Linked DNA regions of Canis lupus familiaris. The protein of the gene in region 1 purifies or fractionates together with the protein of each later gene. This does not show direct contact. Links are inferred from orthologs where the notes say so. Each region holds a gene or a part of one and is shown on either strand. Other genes may lie near its edges.

Region 1 (8,395 bases):
ACTTTTGGAAAATTCCAAACTTTTCTCTGATTTATAAATTAAAACCCACAGAAGTTATTCACTTCTTGTCTAACTTGGGGAGATACTCTTCTTCATTTCTAACAATAAGCACTATGCAGATAAGGGCATTACACACAGTGTCAAGCAGTGGCTAGAAACCCTTAAATGTGGGAAAGGGGCATGCATCTCTCAGCACCACCAACACCAAGTGCATCATTTCCACGGGGCATTTTCCTCTTTAAGGCTCTGTGATGATTTTCACCCACGTCACTCTTCTAGACTCAGTACAAATATAGGAAACATGGCTGGGAATTCCCAATGAAGTTTACTATTTTCACTTGAAACAAGATCAGTCTAAAGGCATCATGCTCAGAATCACACAAAGGTTTGAGAATGAGGATTTAGTCTCTGCAAATTTCTTCAACAGAGGCAAATAAGGGGGGGGAGTGAGAGCACTGCTTGGCCTACACACAGGGATTCCATCTGATATACAGCAGGTACAGAGGTGGAAAGAAGGGTGCTCTGCAGACCAACATAAGCAAGGGTATGCTGTACCCTATCCTTCCTACACTTTCAAGAGTCCCATCCAGCCACTTCCATTCTCTAGGTGAAAGGCAGCCTGACTGGGACAGGGGACTGAGTCTGGGAACTAAGGGGGTAACCTATCTCACCAGAGATAGGTCATTCCTGCACTGTCAATGTTCCAAGCAGGGTCTGAACAGAATGCACTTCTCACCTCCTAAGCACACAGTAAATATTTCAAGCCATAGCCAAATGACATAAAAATGGAGGACCATGGAAGAAATGCTTGCCCTTACTGAAGGTCATGCAAAATGATTTCACAGAGCCCCTCTAGCCCTAGAATTCAAATCACTAGTATTCTTAAAAGCATTAAGAAATCTGTTATTTAAAAAAAAAAAAAAAAAAGAGGAGGACCTGCCTGGCTCAGTCAGTAGAGCAATCTCAGGGTCATGAGTTCAAGCCTCACGTGGGTTAGAGGTTACTTAAAAAAATAAAGGGAGGGGGGAGAGAATGTACACACAATCCCATGCTCCCTCAGGCCAACTTCATGATGTGATGACACCATCTGACCTACATCATCAGGAAACAAAGCACATGAATTATTATGCCACTAAGACCTCCCCTAAAACAAGTCTGATTTGAAGAACTGCTCATTTTTAAAAACACCCAGGTTAGCGTTAAGTACTTGGATCAAGGGGATCCCTGGGTGGCGCAGCGGTTTGGCGCCTGCCTTTGGCCCAGGGCGTGATCCTGGAGACCTGGGATCGAGTCCCACGTTGGGCTCCCGGTGCATGGAGCCTGCTTCTCCCTCTGCCTGTGTCTCTGCCTCTCTCTCTCTCTCTGTGTGACTATCATAAATAAATAAAAATTAAAAAAAAAAAAAAAAAGTACTTGGATCAAGCCTCATACATTGTCTGCCTTCCTACTCCCCGTCTTGGGCACAATCAATAGATCAGCTCTGTCCTGCTTGCAAAGGAGTCTAAAGCTAGGCAAAACACAGCCCAGGAAAGATCAATTGTCTTATCTATGCATCTATAGGTACTAGCCCAGCTCTGGTATGTCATGCTAATCTTTTCAATCACTTCTTCCAATGTGACGGTGTTAATAACTCTACCTTCCACCTCTCTTCACACTACTCCTATGACAAACTACTATCATGGGAATGCTTGATGGATGTAGACAGGTGTGCAATTTGTTCCACTAAAAAGATAACACAAAAAATTATAGTACCCAAATTTCAGATTCCAGATGCAATTTCAAAATGATATCCTACTTCTTTCCATTCCACATCTAATTAATATAAAATCTGACATCTCTAGCAAAACTAATTTGCAAAAGAAAAATGTTAGAAGCATGCTTCTGCCTGAAGCAGTTAAGTTTGGGGAAAAATAGTTTAACTTCTCCCTGAGGGTCTACAAAGATTTCTGCTATTGACTCAAATCAAGGACACTTGTTTCTAATCCATCACAGTAGGAAAGTTAGGTTCACAACTTCATGTTAATGATAAATATGACCTCAGGCCACTGCTTAGGTGGTTATTTCACTTAGAAAAGCAATAGGATAATATACCTGAGAAGAGTCCAGAGTTATCTATCGGGCCAGGAAACAGATTGTGTTCACCCACATTGTACATATCCCAGCTGTCGAAACCCACATACTTCTTCCACTGCTTGAACCACCGGCTGTCAATAAGATACCTAGACAGAGATAAAAATTTACTATGCCAGAAAAACTGAGATTCTGAGTTTCTGCAGTTGCTCCTTTAAATTTTTTATGGTCTTTCCACCTGGAGAACACACAATTCCCATTTAAAAACACACTCTCGGGATCCCTGGGTGGCGCAGTGGTTTGGCGCCTGCCTTTGGCCCAGGGCGCGATCCTGGAGACCCGGGATCGAATCCCACATCAGGCTCCCGGTGCATGGAGCCTGCTTCTCCCTCTGCCTGTGTCTCTGCCTCTCTCTCTCTCTCTCTCTCTGTGACTATCATAAATAAATTTAAAAAAAAAAAAATTTTTTTTAAATAAATAAAAAATAAAAAAAATAAAAACACTCTCAGGCAGCCCAAGTGGCTCAGCGGTTTATACTGCCTTCAGGCCAGGGTGTGATCCTGGAAACCTGGGATCGAGTCACGTCAGACTTCCTGCATGGAACCTGCCTCTCTCTCTGTCTCATGAATAAATAAAGTCTTTAAAAAAAAAAAAAAAAAAAGAAAGAAAGAAAAAGAAAAGAATGAGAGGTGCTCGGGTGGCTCAGTTGCTTAAGCATCCAATTATTGGTCTCAAATCAAGTCCTGATCTCAGAGTTGTGAGTTCAAGCCCTACACAGCACTCTACAACTGGGTATGGAATCTACTTAAAAAAAAAAAAAAAAAAAAAAAAGAATAAATAAATAAATGAATAAATAAATGAAAGGAAATTATTGGATTCAAGCTTATTTATTTATTTATTTATTTATTTATTTTTGGATTCAAGCTTATTTAAATGAAGTCCTCCTATGAGTAAATTCCTGTTCACTAATGAGTAATTCAGTAATTTCAAATGATCTTTTTTTTTTTTTCAAATGATCTTTATAGAAGTTCTTGTCTAGGACAGACAAGTTAACTTTTAAAAGTATCACTATGAAAAAATTTTTAAAAAGTATCACTATGATGTTTTACAATTAAGAGAGGAGGAGTAAATCTTTGTGGGGGGGGGGAAGCACAACAATCATATTGGTGAATCCTTCAAGGTTTTTTGTTTTTTTTTTTTTAAAGATTTTGTCTATCTATTCATTTAAGAGAGAGCACTTGAGAGTTCACAAGCAGGGGGAGGGGAAGAGGGAGAGGCAGACCCCCTGCTGAACAGGGAGCCTGATGCAGGGATAATCCCAGGACCCCAGGATCATGACCCAAGGTGAAGCAAGGCGCTTAAAACTGATTGAGCCACTCAGGTATCCCAAAGTCCTTTAGGTTTTATAAAAAACAAACCTGAATGATCAGGTAGCTTCCCAAAAGCCACAAGGATCTATATATACACCCAAATCTTTAAAATGCTCCTTTCCTGGACACCTAGGTGGCTCAGTGATTGAGCATCTGCCTTTGGTTCAGGGCATGATCCTGGGATCTGGAATCGAGTCCTACATCAGGCTCCCTGTGTGGGCGGAGCCTGCTTCTCTGCCTGTGTCTCTGCCTCGCTCTAAGAAATAAATAAAATCTTTTTTAAAAAATGCTCTTTTCCCTCCAAAACCCCCCTCCCACTTTTTTTTTTTTTTTTTTTAAGATTTCATTTATTCGTGAGAGACAGAGAAAGAGAGGCAAAGACACTGGCAGAGGGAGAAGCAGGCTCCCTGCACGGAGCCTGATGTGGGACTCCATCCCGTGTCTACAGGATCTCACCCTGAGCCGAAGGCAGATGCTCAACCGCTGAAACACCCAGGTGTTCCTCCCTCTAAACCCCTTGAACAATACTCTCCAAACACTTTTAGTGTGACCTTAGACTATCTGAAACATCCTCTCTCTGATCTTGCCACATATTCTTCATCTATCACTCCGAAGCAGGATAACTTCTGCTTGCCCTGCTGTACAGCCCTATCTGAATTCCTCCTAATCCAAATGTTTCCCTTTCCTGCTCAATTACCTTAAGTAGCATAAACACCACCTAATTTCTTAAAGATTCGATGTTCAATCATATTCGATGCAAATCTAAGCCTTAGCTTTCTACTCCCACACAATAATACCACCCAGGAATCTCTTCACTAGTGGAAGAACTGTCCTTTCTACTAATTTATTAAGAAGCCTACTGTCTCAGATTTGCTCTTCTAAACCATGGACTTTTCACCTTCTTATCTAGGCTCTAAGTTATCCTCCTCCCCCACACTGAAACGCTGCTGCCACAATTATTTTTGACACTTGCTACCAAAGTAACCCGGAGCTTTCAAACATTTGTTCAACTTCTAACCTTGACATCTGTTCGAGAATTTACAAGTTACAAAAGTATCTACTTCTGATGTTCTTCTCAACCCATAACGTGGGGATGCCAAATACTGTTACCCTGGCTTTAATAGTAAGGTACCGAGGTCTGGGAGGTGTGGTCGCCTTCCCTCAAGGTCACACAGAGAGTCCTCGAAGGTAAGGGGCTCTTCCCATCCTGAAGGTCCCCGTGAGCACGCCCCTTCCCCCACCCTGTAGCCCCTACCCCCCACCGGGTCCGCCCTCTGGGGCTCCGAAAGGGCAAGGATAACCCTCACACTTTCCCTGAGGTGCTTCTACGGGTCCTCTTCTGAGAGACAAGGTTCAGGACACCCTCTCAGGGTCACTAACACCGCCCCCACCCGGCCCCTATCCAAGCCGGGAAAGAGAGGTCTGGCCTAAGGACCAGAGCCCCTGCCTCTGGGTCTGGGCGGCGGAAAGGCTGGCCCGGTGCTCACCACTGCGCCCCTCGTTGGAGCGTGGTCCTCATCAAGGCCCCGAGCTCGGATTTCTGGGTCTCCGCATCAGGCCGCTCACGGTACCCTCCACCTTCCGCCATCTCGTCAGCCGCCCCGGCCCAGCCGGCCCGGACATCCGCCTCGCGCACGGCGTGCTGTGGGCCACGCCCACGCACGCACGCACGCACGCATGCGCGCGCGTACCCAAGCCCCACCTAGCGCCGCGGCCTCGAATGTCCGCTCGCCTGTTTCTGCCTTTTCTCCCTATCACGTGCGGCCCTTCCCCACCCGTGCGGGGCGGAGCCGGGAGGGGGCCGGAGGAGGAGGTGGGTACTGGCAAACGTGCGGGCCCTTTCTGCCGCCCTGGGGGCCGCGAGGTGGGCTGACTTGCATCCCTTCGTCGAGCCCGGCGATCTCTAGGCACCTGACCGTAGTCCCCTTGACCCCTCAGGCACCCCGTCCAGGCCCACGGTGTTAGCCTGCTTTCTAGATCAACCCAGGGCCAGTTGCGAGAAGCCCTGGAACTAGCTTTTCTTGCTTTGAGCTGGAGATCTTAGGCCAGTCCTTAGCCTTCCAAACGGGGGATCCGGGTGCCGGTCCTGGAAGCCCTGCAGGGATATTGGAGAGTGCAGGTATACCTGCGCCTTGGGACCGGGACTCGACGGTCTAATCTAGTCATTAACACTCCTTTCAAACAGTCTAGACGCAAGAATCATGGCCCACGACCGAATAACCCAAGCCCTCCACACAGCTAGCTGCTTGCCTTGTCAGGGAAACAAGCAGCCGCTGAGTGGCGATAGCAGCGAGGTTAGAAGGAGAGATCTGGGTGTGTTCTCCACATTAGGTGCCCAAGTTGCTGCTTAATTTGTTGCTACAGGGACGCCTGGGTGGTCCAGTGGTTTGGCACCTGCCTTTGGCCCAGGGCGTGATCCTGGAGTCTGAGGATCGAGTCCCTCAACGGGCTCCCTGCATGGAGCCTGCTTCTCCCTCTGCCTGTGTCTCTGCTTCTCTGTCTCTCATGAATAAATAATTAAAATCTTTAAAAGTAATGATAATAATAATTTGTTGCTGCAACAAGATTCAGTATCCTGAACACTATGTGTCTTCCACTCAGCCCTGCATACAAAAAGCACAGCTCGCCTCATGGAGTGGGAAGTAAGCCCAGAGCAGGGAGACCGGGCAGCTGGCCTTGATGAGTCACCATTCATTTTCTAGCAGTTCCTGCCCCAAAAAATGTCACAGTGCCTGATTTCAAACTAATGGAGAAGAGATCTTCCGTAAATAACCCCAGCATCAAGCACTGTATGGTATAGGTAAGTGCCATGAAAGGGTATGAACCAAAGACTGTAGACCCCTAGAGTTGTGAAAGGGCAAGTTTGACTTGGTAGCATTTGAGTGTGGTTTTATTTTTATTTAAGATTTTATTTATTCATGAGACACACAGAGAGAGACAGAACAGGCTCCACACAGGGAGACTGATGCAGGACTCTATCCCAGGCCCTGCTGGATCACAACCTGAGCACCCAGGTGCCCCCTTGAGTGTGGCTTTAAGAAGCATAGAAATTGGAGGTGCATGTTACAAGGAGGGAAACTACAGGAGTCAATTTCTGGAACAAGTAGGGCAGAACCAAAGATTAAGGATTAGAAATTAAACTGGGCACAGAGTAGTGGAAAGAACCTTTTATCTAAAGCTAAAACAGAGGCCAGAAAGGCCATATATTCTGCTTTAAATGGCTCACAGAGGGATGCCGGGGTGGGTCAGTGATTGAGCATCTGCCTTTGGCTCCGGTTGTGATCCCAGGGTCCTGGGATTGAGTCCCACATCAGGCTCACCCACAGAGAAGCCTGCTTTTCCCTCTGCCTGTGTCTCTGCCTCTCTCTGTCTCTCATGAATAAATAAGTAAAATCTTTAAAAAATAAAAATAAATAAATGCCCCCCAGATATTGTAAAAGGTTTTGGATCAGAGACAAACTAGCTGAAGCTGAGAAGAGACCTATTAGGAACCTTTAACTAGAGAGATGGCAATGAGGAAGGAGAAACAGATGAGCCATGTTCAGTGTTGGGGATGGAGGAGGGATCACTGGCTAGGTGAAGGTGTGGTAGGTCATTTGAGCAGATTTACTATTTTTATCCTGGGTTTTGGCTAATTGAAATTAGCATGAATCGAATACACGCTACCTGGGATCCCTGGGTGGCACGGTGGTTTGGCGCCTGCCTTTGGCCCAAGGCGTGATCCTGGAGACCCGGGATCGAATCCCACGTCGGGCTCCCGGTGCAATAAGCCTGCTCCTCCCTCTGCCTATGTCTCTGCCTCTCTCTCTCTCTCTCTCTGTGTGACTATCATAAATAAAAATTAAAAAAAAAAAAAAAAAGAATACACGCTACCTGGGACACCCCTCAGGTACCCTCTGGTAACACAGGCCTCTTGGGAGTTGGGTAGCTAGGAGAAGAAAAGTAAATTTGGAAATAAAACTGTCTTGAGTAACTGAATAACTTCATAGCAGTTAATCCTCCGCAGATAAGAATTACCACCACGTGATAATTCTGCATCTGGGGAGCCGACCTTTACAACCTGAGTGCCCTTCTGTGAAAGTTATTTGAAAATGTTAAAAATGGGGCAACCCTGGTGGCGCAGCGGTTTAGCGCCACCTGCAACCCAGGGCGTGATCTGGAGACCCTGGATCGAGTCCCATGTCAGGCTCTCTGCATGGAGCCTGCTTCTCCCTCTGTGTCTCTACCTCTCTCTCTCTCTCTCTGCATCTCTATGAATAAATAAATAAAATCTTTAAAAAACATTTAAAAAAAAGAAAATGTTAAAAATGTTGTTAAATGAGAAACACCACCTTTAGCCCTGTTATTTATGGAAAAAGAAAGCTGGGTTATCGACATGACTTCAGAACCTACATTACAGGGTGTCTACTTCTCTCTTCTTTTTTTAGCAGTTTCTCCTATACCATTTATGGCATGGGTCAGAGTCTTAAGGAAGTAGGACAAGTCCTCAGCACCACTAGAAAAGGGGCCAAAACCTAATTATAAATATGAAAACTTTTTAAGGCAGGATCTCTTCAGTGCTATTAAATGGCTGTAAAAATCTTGCTCTAATTATGTATAGTTCCTAAAAAATTTATACTAAGATCACAAAGTGCCAGTAGTCGAAATGTGAGGAAGAGAAATGTCGTAGTCAGAAAATAATTACTTCCAAAGTATTAAAACGTTTTTTTTTAATTTATTTTATTTTATTTATTTGTGATAGGCACACAGTGAGAGAGAGAGAGAGGCAGAGACATAGGCAGAGGGAGAAGCAGGCTCCATGCACCGGGAGCCCGACGTGGGACTCGATCCCGGGTCTCCAGGATCGTGCCCTGGGCCAAAGGCAGGAGCTAAACCGCTGCGCCACCCAGGGATCCCCCATATTAAAACGTTTTTATTGGGGTACCTGGCTGGCTCATTTGGAAAGAACATGTCAC
Region 2 (7,840 bases), on another chromosome or scaffold:
GCACGGGCCGGGCTCCTGCACAGGTGGAGGGCGGGCCTCAGAGCTAGGCTGCACGGGGTCGGCTCAGGCAGAGGGCACAGGACGCACACCCGAGCTGGCCGAGGGGACCTGGCACGTGATGTCGGGGAGGAGACAGGAGCACGAAGTGGCAGGTGCCACCACTGGTGGGGCGGGGGCTGGAGGAAAGAGGTGGATGTCTCCCCCGGGCTGAGGGATGAGGAGCAGCTCCAGGGCTGGCCCTGGGGTGGTTGCTGGAGTGTTCTGTCTCTGTCATCTTGATACTTAGTGACTTTTTCCCAATTTGCCCCTGGCCCGCCGCCAGTACCGCAGCTGGTGCTGGGGAGAGAAGCCCCCCCCCCCCCACCAGCTGACGCTGCAGCTTCGGGGAGACGGGCCGAGGAGGCCGGGCCTCCACCCAGGAGGTGGAGGGAGGTTCTCTAAAGGGAGGGTGTCCGTGCCTGCCCCTCTGGTAAGACTCGGAGCCAGGCAGGGCCGCAAGCACAGAGAAGTCAGGGAAGCCCGGCCGGCCTGGTCTGCGGCTGGCGGGGGCCCGAGGGCAGCCAGGTTCTCAAGGCCCGGCTCCTTCCGCCCTTGCCTCCCCAGTTCTACACGAAAACCAACTGACCCACACAGACTTGAAGCCAGAGAACATCTTGTTTGTGAATTCGGAGTTTGAAACCCTCTACAATGAGCACAAGGTACGGGTCGGGAGAGGCAAGACCTGCTCTGGGGTGGGTCACCCGCTGGTCAGACTCCTGACCCGACTCCCTTGCCTCAGAGCTGCGAGGAGAAGTCGGTGAAGAACACCAGCATCCGAGTGGCTGACTTCGGCAGTGCTACCTTTGACCACGAGCACCACACGACCATCGTGGCCACCCGTCACTATCGCCCACCTGAGGTGATTCTTGGTGAGTGACCGTGTGGCCCCAACTCTGACCACGCGGAGGCTTGTTGGGAGGGTTAGGACTGGAGACAGGGAGGTGCCCGCCACCAGCGGCCTGTGTCCCTGTGGGCGCTGACTGGACCTCACCGGGAAAGGGTCTTCTCTGGGTTTGGGCAAGAGTCCTGCCAGCCGGAGGGCAGCTGACCTGTGACCGGAGTCTCCTGTTCTCTCCCCACGCTGGCTTTCAGAGCTGGGCTGGGCACAGCCCTGTGACGTCTGGAGCATCGGCTGCATTCTCTTTGAGTACTACCGGGGCTTCACGCTCTTTCAGGTGAGGCCCCCCCCCCTGGTGCAGCACGTGGGCCCTGCTTGGGCAGGCTGCAGGGGCTGGGTTGGGCAGCCCCGCGACCACCCACCCATCGGCACAGGTGGGATGCCCGGGCTCCTGAGGTCGGCGTAGTGGAGCGCTTGGCCTCCAGATGGAGGACGGGGCGGGGGGGCACAGCCTGTGTGAGGGTGCAGAGAAGGGCAGGGCACGTTCCGGGAGGAGTGAGCAAGGGAACTGGAGACAGGTGCTCGCTGATGGACGGGTCTGAGAGGCCCTGGGGCACGAACTTGACCCTGAGAGAAGGGGCTGGCGGCTGCCACCGGGTCAGAGGCCAGGACTACTGCTCACTGATGGGTTCCCATCTCGGGGGGCAAGAAGACACTTGCCCATCTTTTTTTTTTTTTTTTTTGGTCCGTCCCTTACCTCCTGTGAGGGGCTGAGGCTCGCACTGAGCCTTGCTTGCTCTATTCCCGAAACCCCAACAGACCCATGAAAACCGTGAACACTTGGTGATGATGGAGAAGATCCTAGGGCCCATCCCGTCACACATGATCCACCGCACCAGGTAAGGCCCTGGTGGCAGCCTCCGGGCTGGCCGTAGGCCACTGGCCAGTCTTCCTGGGACGTCGTGGCTCCCCCAGACTCCTAGCAGCCTTCCCTCCCGAGCACCACACTGCGTGACCTGGGAAACCACCCGCGCACACATTCCCGCCCTGCTCGGTCAGGCCAGCTAGGATCCTGCACCTCGCTTCGCGGCCACTCCCGACTGCCACTGTCTTCTGCGACCTCCACCCATGACTTGTCGCCCTGCCACATCAACCCCTTCTTTTCTTTCACTTTCAGGAAACAGAAGTATTTCTACAAAGGGGGCCTGGTTTGGGATGAGAACAGCTCTGATGGCCGGTATGTGAAGGAGAACTGCAAACCTCTGAAGGTCAGTTCCTGGCTTCCCCCAGCTCAACTCCTGCCGAGGAGACCCCAGGCCCTGGGCAGACACAGCAGAGACAGGCCGGGCAGCTAAAGGCTGCCGGGGGCTGGCCGAGGGGCCCCTCCCCACAGGGTGGCTCTGGATGTAATTGGGGAACCACCAGAAGAGCCAGATGTCAGAGACCTGCTGCCTCCTGCCCTCTCTCCTCTCAGTTTTGGGAAGAACTAGGCGGGGCTGAGGGGGAGGGAGGACCTAGACATGGCCCGGAAGCCTCTATCAACGGCATTCGGTGCTCGGACCTGTGAATTCTGCAGAGGTGATCTCTACCCACCTGTCAGGACTTTGCATGCGGGGGCAGAGGCACCGCGCCAAACGCTCTACACAGGCGTGAAAAGAAAGGAGCCGCTTGCTGTCAGGAGGGCATAGTCGTCCTCCAGGGAGGCGGCACTGCCGCCTCAACCCGTGCAGCAAGGCTTCCCACGAGCCTGCCGTCACACTGAGGCGCCTTGTGTCCCTGAGCAGAGTTACATGCTCCAGGACTCCTTGGAGCACGTGCAGCTGTTTGACCTGATGAGGAGGATGTTAGAATTTGACCCTGCCCAGCGCATCACACTGGCGGAGGCCCTGCTGCACCCCTTCTTTGCTGGCCTGACCCCTGAGGAGCGGTCCTTCCACACCAGCCGCAACCCGAGCAGATGACAGGCGTAGGCCACCGCAGGAGCCGGAGAGTGGGACGGGGCCACCCGGCCTTTTCTCCAACCCCCACCACCGGGCCCCGGGGCCAGAGCCACCCAACGAACAGTGCAATGTGAAGGAAGGCAGGAGCCTGCAGGGGACGAGACTTGACGCCCGCCCAGCTGCCAGAAAGCACAGATTTGCCCCAAGCTATTTATATGTTGTAAAGTTATAATAAAGTGTTTCTTACTGTTTGTAACCCCTGGTACCAGTGTGTCCGTCTCCAGGCTCCTTGCCATCCCCACTCCCGGCCTTCTTAATAAAGTCTTTCTTAGCAGTTCAGCTTGTGGAGAGCTAAGTAAGTGTGAACTGGGCTGCCCAGAGGAGCGGGGTGCCCCCCCGCCCACGCCCCAGGCCCTGGGGAAGTGCCCTGAGGTGCTGGGCCCGCTGGGGCCTGGCTGGGCAGTAGCCAGTCTCCCCTCCTCCTGGCCCCGTCGCCAGCCGGCACTTCAGGGCGTATCTGCCCAAGAGCCGTGGCTGACTGAAGGCTGGCGGACGGGGCCTGACCAGCTGGGCTCCTGGGCCCAGGCGGCAGCTCCAGGCCACAGCCTGCACAGCAATTTACCAGAGCCCAGGCCTCCGTCATTCAGCTTTATTTTAAGTGCTGGTTTTTGGTTCCCCAAGAGCTGCAGGAGTGGTAGTCCTGACCACCTGGCTGGGGACTGGGGGACAGGACGGGACGCCTCTGAAAAAAGCTGAAGGCAGAGGAACCATGCTGATCTTTAAGACCACCAGGAAAGGCCCAGGCTGGGGGCAGGAGGAGGCTCCAGAGCCTCCCACAGGGAGAAGACAGGCCCAGGAACAAGCTCCCCGTGGCCCCTGACCAGGCCCTCGCTCCCAGGGCTGCTGCAACTTACCCACTGCAGCGCAGAGTCCGCTGGGCCAGGCTCCTCAGGCTCCTCTTCCGCTGTACCCAGCGCGGGGAGGCTTACCAACAGGCAGGCACCCACAGTCTACTGGCTGCTTACTGAAAATGCCCGTAACCCAGCACTGCTCCTCAGACTGTGGCCCTGCCTCTACAGAGAGGGCTCCATCTTGGAGCTTCTTGGCCCTGAGAGTGAGCAGAGGTTCAGGGAGGATACACACAAAGCTCACAGTCTCTGGCTGCCTCCCACTGCTGGAGACAATTAACATTTGAGGAAGAATGGGAGGAAAAGAGGGACCAGCCCTCTGCCCTGCCTCATCTGCTCCTGGCTATGCTCCTATGAGAAGTGGGAAGTAGCCTGCGACAATCCATGGTACCAGGGCCTACCCTGTGTCCATATTCCTTGGCGAGCCCTCCCACTCACCCCCTTAACCAGAGTGAGTGGGCAGAAAGCAGAAGCCTGAAGCCCTGAAAACGGCTTTAGAGCATGAGCTTTTTGCAAGGGCCCCTGGCAGGTACTCTAGGGTATGGCTCGTGTTCTGAAACCAGCCTCCAAGGCCTAATCATGTGAGGTCCAAGGGCTTTCCTGCCTTAGGATCTGAGCAGCAATGTGTTCCTATGGCTGAGACCCACCAGCTAGCTCATCTAGAACTAGCCTCATTTTGGCATCTTTGAGAGGGCGCTGGCCCCAAGCCTACTCATCTAGAGTGGACAATCAAAAAGGGTTCAGAGCCTAGATGGGAGGGACTTGTGTCCTGCTCTGGGACAATAGCTGCAGAGGACCATTTCAGGGGAAAATGGGGGCAGAAGAAAGGGGGGGCATATGTGCAGGCAAGGAGGTAGGGGCAAGGTAGTGGTGGCCTAAGACACAGAAGCACCAGGGAGCCTCTTCTGGCTCAGCACCAGGCTCCCCCAGGGACCTCCCCAATACTGAACATTAAAGCTGCACCCTGAGGGCTCTGGCCCCAGCTAGAGAGGGTATGGGGCTGGGGGGCACTGCTGGCAAGATGGGCACTGTGGTTCTACAGTAACATAACCTCATACTACGTATGCAGAAAACAGAAAAACAGTATAAAATCCCAATACAGTAAAACCATCCTGATGCCACCCCCTTTCCTGCCTCTCAGCGTGATGGAGTGGAAAGGAAGAAAGACCCTTGAAAAAAATCCCAGCATAAAACTTGCATCAGCTCAGGAGAAAGGGTCAAAAGCCTCCAAATCAGCCCCTAAATCAACTTGCGACAGGACTCTGGGAAGGCCGCCTCCAAGCCCTCGCCAGGAACGGAGTGCGAGTCTGCCCTCTAGCGGGGCAGCTGCAGCACAGCCAGTTTGACATGATCAGAAGGGGGTGGGGGGGTGCAGAAGCAGGGGACACGGAGCCAAAGCAAGTACAGGGCCCCAAACAGGACCCGCCCCACCCCTCAAGGTGCTTGCTCAGGCCCCAGTGACTGTAAACCTGAAACACAGTCCGTGAGTGAGCTGCCTAAGTCTGTAAACAAAGCCCCATCCAGCCACGCAGGGGGCCAAGGGTCGAGATGCCTAGAACCACTCAGCCTGCTGCCCACCCAGCACACCCACACACCTGCCCTGGCTACAGGCAGGTGACAGGTCATTTTTAAATATGATCTGTTCTCTCACAGAAGTAACAAATCCAAAAGCGAAAAAATTTAACAAGGTCCATGAAGCTTCACATCCTTAAGGCGTTCGTTGTCAAGTTCAGTGTGTCCGGAGCAGCAGGGGACCGCAGGGTCTAATTTGCCCAGAGCCCCTCTAGGCCGAGTGCAATGGAATGACAAACTTGCAGCCAAAGGGGGAGTGGTAGCTGATGCCCACCTCCTGGAATACCTGCTGGGGGAGGCCGATGTCGCACAAGTAGATGCGGCCTGCACGCTCCCCCAGTGGCAGAGGCAGGCCCAGGGCCAGTGACCACTTGGCGTCGATGCCCTGTTCGCCTTCATGCACAGGAGGGTCTATGCTGAGCACTGGCGCCCGGTTCCGGTTGGCCCAGGCCACAGCTGCCTTGTACCAGGGCTGGTCCCGCAGGAAGGCATTTTCGGGGCAGTCCAGGCAGTTGATCACTAGATCCACAGGGCTAGTGGGCAGATCTGCGGGAGAAAAGAGCACTATATGGGAATCGCTATAAGCAGAGAGCAGCCCAGGTGGGGACTGGAACCCAGATGGCCCCAAGGGTGTCTTGTCCTGACACCACTCCAAGGACTTGCCACAGGCTGGCTTTCTCAAGGCTGGGCCAGGCCTCTGGACCTCTGCGGCCCGGTTGGCCTAGGCACCAGAGACTGAGGGCATGTCAGCCCAGTGGACCATTGTCCTCACGGAGTCCCCAGGCTGAAGTAGCATCCTGCTGGCCATGCAGGCCATCTCCAGGAACAGCAGATGCACATCCAACTAACTCCCTGGTACACTATGAGCTCTGAGAATGGGGCGCTGACTGCCAAATCAGCCCTCACAGGGAGCCCTGCCCAGAGCCCAGAAGAAATGGGCTGACTGTCATTTGCTGGCTGGCCCAAGAACTGGAAGCAGGCCAGAACGCACCTATTTACTCTACCTCGAGCTAGCCGCCTCACCGGACAGGAGCCAGCCCGGCTTTGCTGCACCCCGCCCCACCTCATGAAAATGGGCTCTCCTTGCAGCCCACTCTGAGGGATAGGGAAGGAATCGACCACTTCTCCAGGCATTTAAAAAAGTTTCTCTGATCAAACCACGCCTCTCAGGCGGCATAAGAACAGATGTCTCAACAACTATGTAAGTCTTGACCAGCTTAAGAGGGTAATTGGAGAAGAGGAGAAATCAGACCAACTCAAGATCAGCATCTTCAGACTTGGCTCCTGGAATTGAAATAGGAAGGCTTTTGGGTAGCCAGAGGATGAACTGCCTATAACACGGTATCGTGTTACAGATCTCAAGCTACGGAACCCACGCCAGACCCCCTTCCTGGCTAAAGTAATGAGATTTCTTAATTAGGGACTCATGGCTTCCTTACTTAGAGTACCATGAAGAAGGGGGCAGGGATGTCCCTGGGGGCCAGGAGGCTTTCAACAGTAAGAGAGGGTCTTACCTTCCACGTGCACACAGGAGGCTGGCTGGAAGGAGACAGAAGTTATGGCCCAGGGTCTGGCCTCAACCTGCCATCTGAACCCCAGCAAGGGCCTTCTTCATTATTTCTTCTCTCTTCTCCTCCTGCCCTGCTCTCACTAAAACCCATTCCAATCACTTTGTTGTCCCTACCCTCCCTTCCCCGCCGGCCCTTGAAACTGCTCTGGTCCAGATTATCAGGGGCTTCCACACAGTTAGATCCAGTGGTCGATTCCCAGACTTCACCTAAGCCTAACCTAGAGCGGCTTGCTGGCAGAGCCGACCGCACCCTCTTCACTTGCCTTCAGGTATCCGGCTCTCCTGCTTTTCCTTCTCCCTCACTGACCACTTCCTTCCCCATCTCCTGAGTTGCTCTCTCAACTCCCTGACTTCTAAACAAAGAACTGAGTCTCACAACTTCCCTACCCAGGGATCCCTGGGTGGCGCAGCGGTTTGGCGCCTGCCTTTGGCCCAGGGCGCGATCCTGGAGACCCGGGATCGAATCCCACGTCGGGCTCCCGGTGCATGGAGCCTGCTTCTCCCTCTGCCTGTGTCTCTGTGCCTCTCTCTCTCTCTGTGACTATCATAAATAAATAAAAATTAAAAAAAAAAAAAAAAAAAAAAAAAAAAAAACAACTTCCCTACCCCTTCCTAGGAGATAGCCTACCCAGGCTCACTAGGGCTCATTCCTGCCTACACACCCGGTACTCCAGACCAGACCCCTTCACGTACCTGTGGACTTCTCTGTATCAGGCAACAGTTATACCTGCTTATCCAACAGGTACCTCCGACTTTCTGCTCCTCCTCCCACAAATCTTCCCATTTCAGGATGGCACTTCCATCCTTCTGGTGACTCAGGCCAAACACCTTGGAGTGTCATATAATCCTCCCGTGTCATATACCTTACAACGAGGCTGCAGCCTCTAGCTCCAAAACTTAGAAACTAACCCTGCTTCACCTCTTCTACCACTACCACTGTCTCAGTCCCCAGCATCTCCTCCCAGTTTATCAC

Evidence for each region. The genes of interacting proteins can lie anywhere in the genome.
Region 2: the proteins of USP4 (region 1) and EDC3 purify together in Homo sapiens (co-immunoprecipitation; 3 studies listed by BioGRID and IntAct, with this or other methods). This does not show direct contact. The link is inferred for Canis lupus familiaris from reciprocal best matches to the Homo sapiens genes USP4 and EDC3.

What each region holds. Positions count from the first base shown.
Region 1 is NC_049241.1:40,303,640-40,312,034, reverse strand, and holds the start of USP4 (ubiquitin carboxyl-terminal hydrolase 4), read right to left. Parts: upstream 5,086-8,395; 5' UTR 5,029-5,085; coding exon 4,928-5,028; intron 2,220-4,927; coding exon 2,092-2,219; intron 1-2,091.
Region 2 is NC_049251.1:38,155,675-38,163,514, forward strand, and holds the end of EDC3 (enhancer of mRNA-decapping protein 3), read right to left. Parts: intron 5,862-7,840; coding exon 5,509-5,861; 3' UTR 2,839-5,508; coding exon of another isoform or gene 2,662-2,838; 3' UTR 2,640-2,661; coding exon of another isoform or gene 2,478-2,639; 3' UTR 2,146-2,477; coding exon of another isoform or gene 2,055-2,145; 3' UTR 1,777-2,054; coding exon of another isoform or gene 1,697-1,776; 3' UTR 1,215-1,696; coding exon of another isoform or gene 1,132-1,214; 3' UTR 909-1,131; coding exon of another isoform or gene 779-908; 3' UTR 699-778; downstream 1-698. Other genes in the region: dual specificity protein kinase CLK3, read left to right, coding at 604-698, 779-908, 1,132-1,214, 1,697-1,776, 2,055-2,145, 2,662-2,838. UniProt on the Homo sapiens protein: Binds single-stranded RNA. Involved in the process of mRNA degradation and in the positive regulation of mRNA decapping. May play a role in spermiogenesis and oogenesis.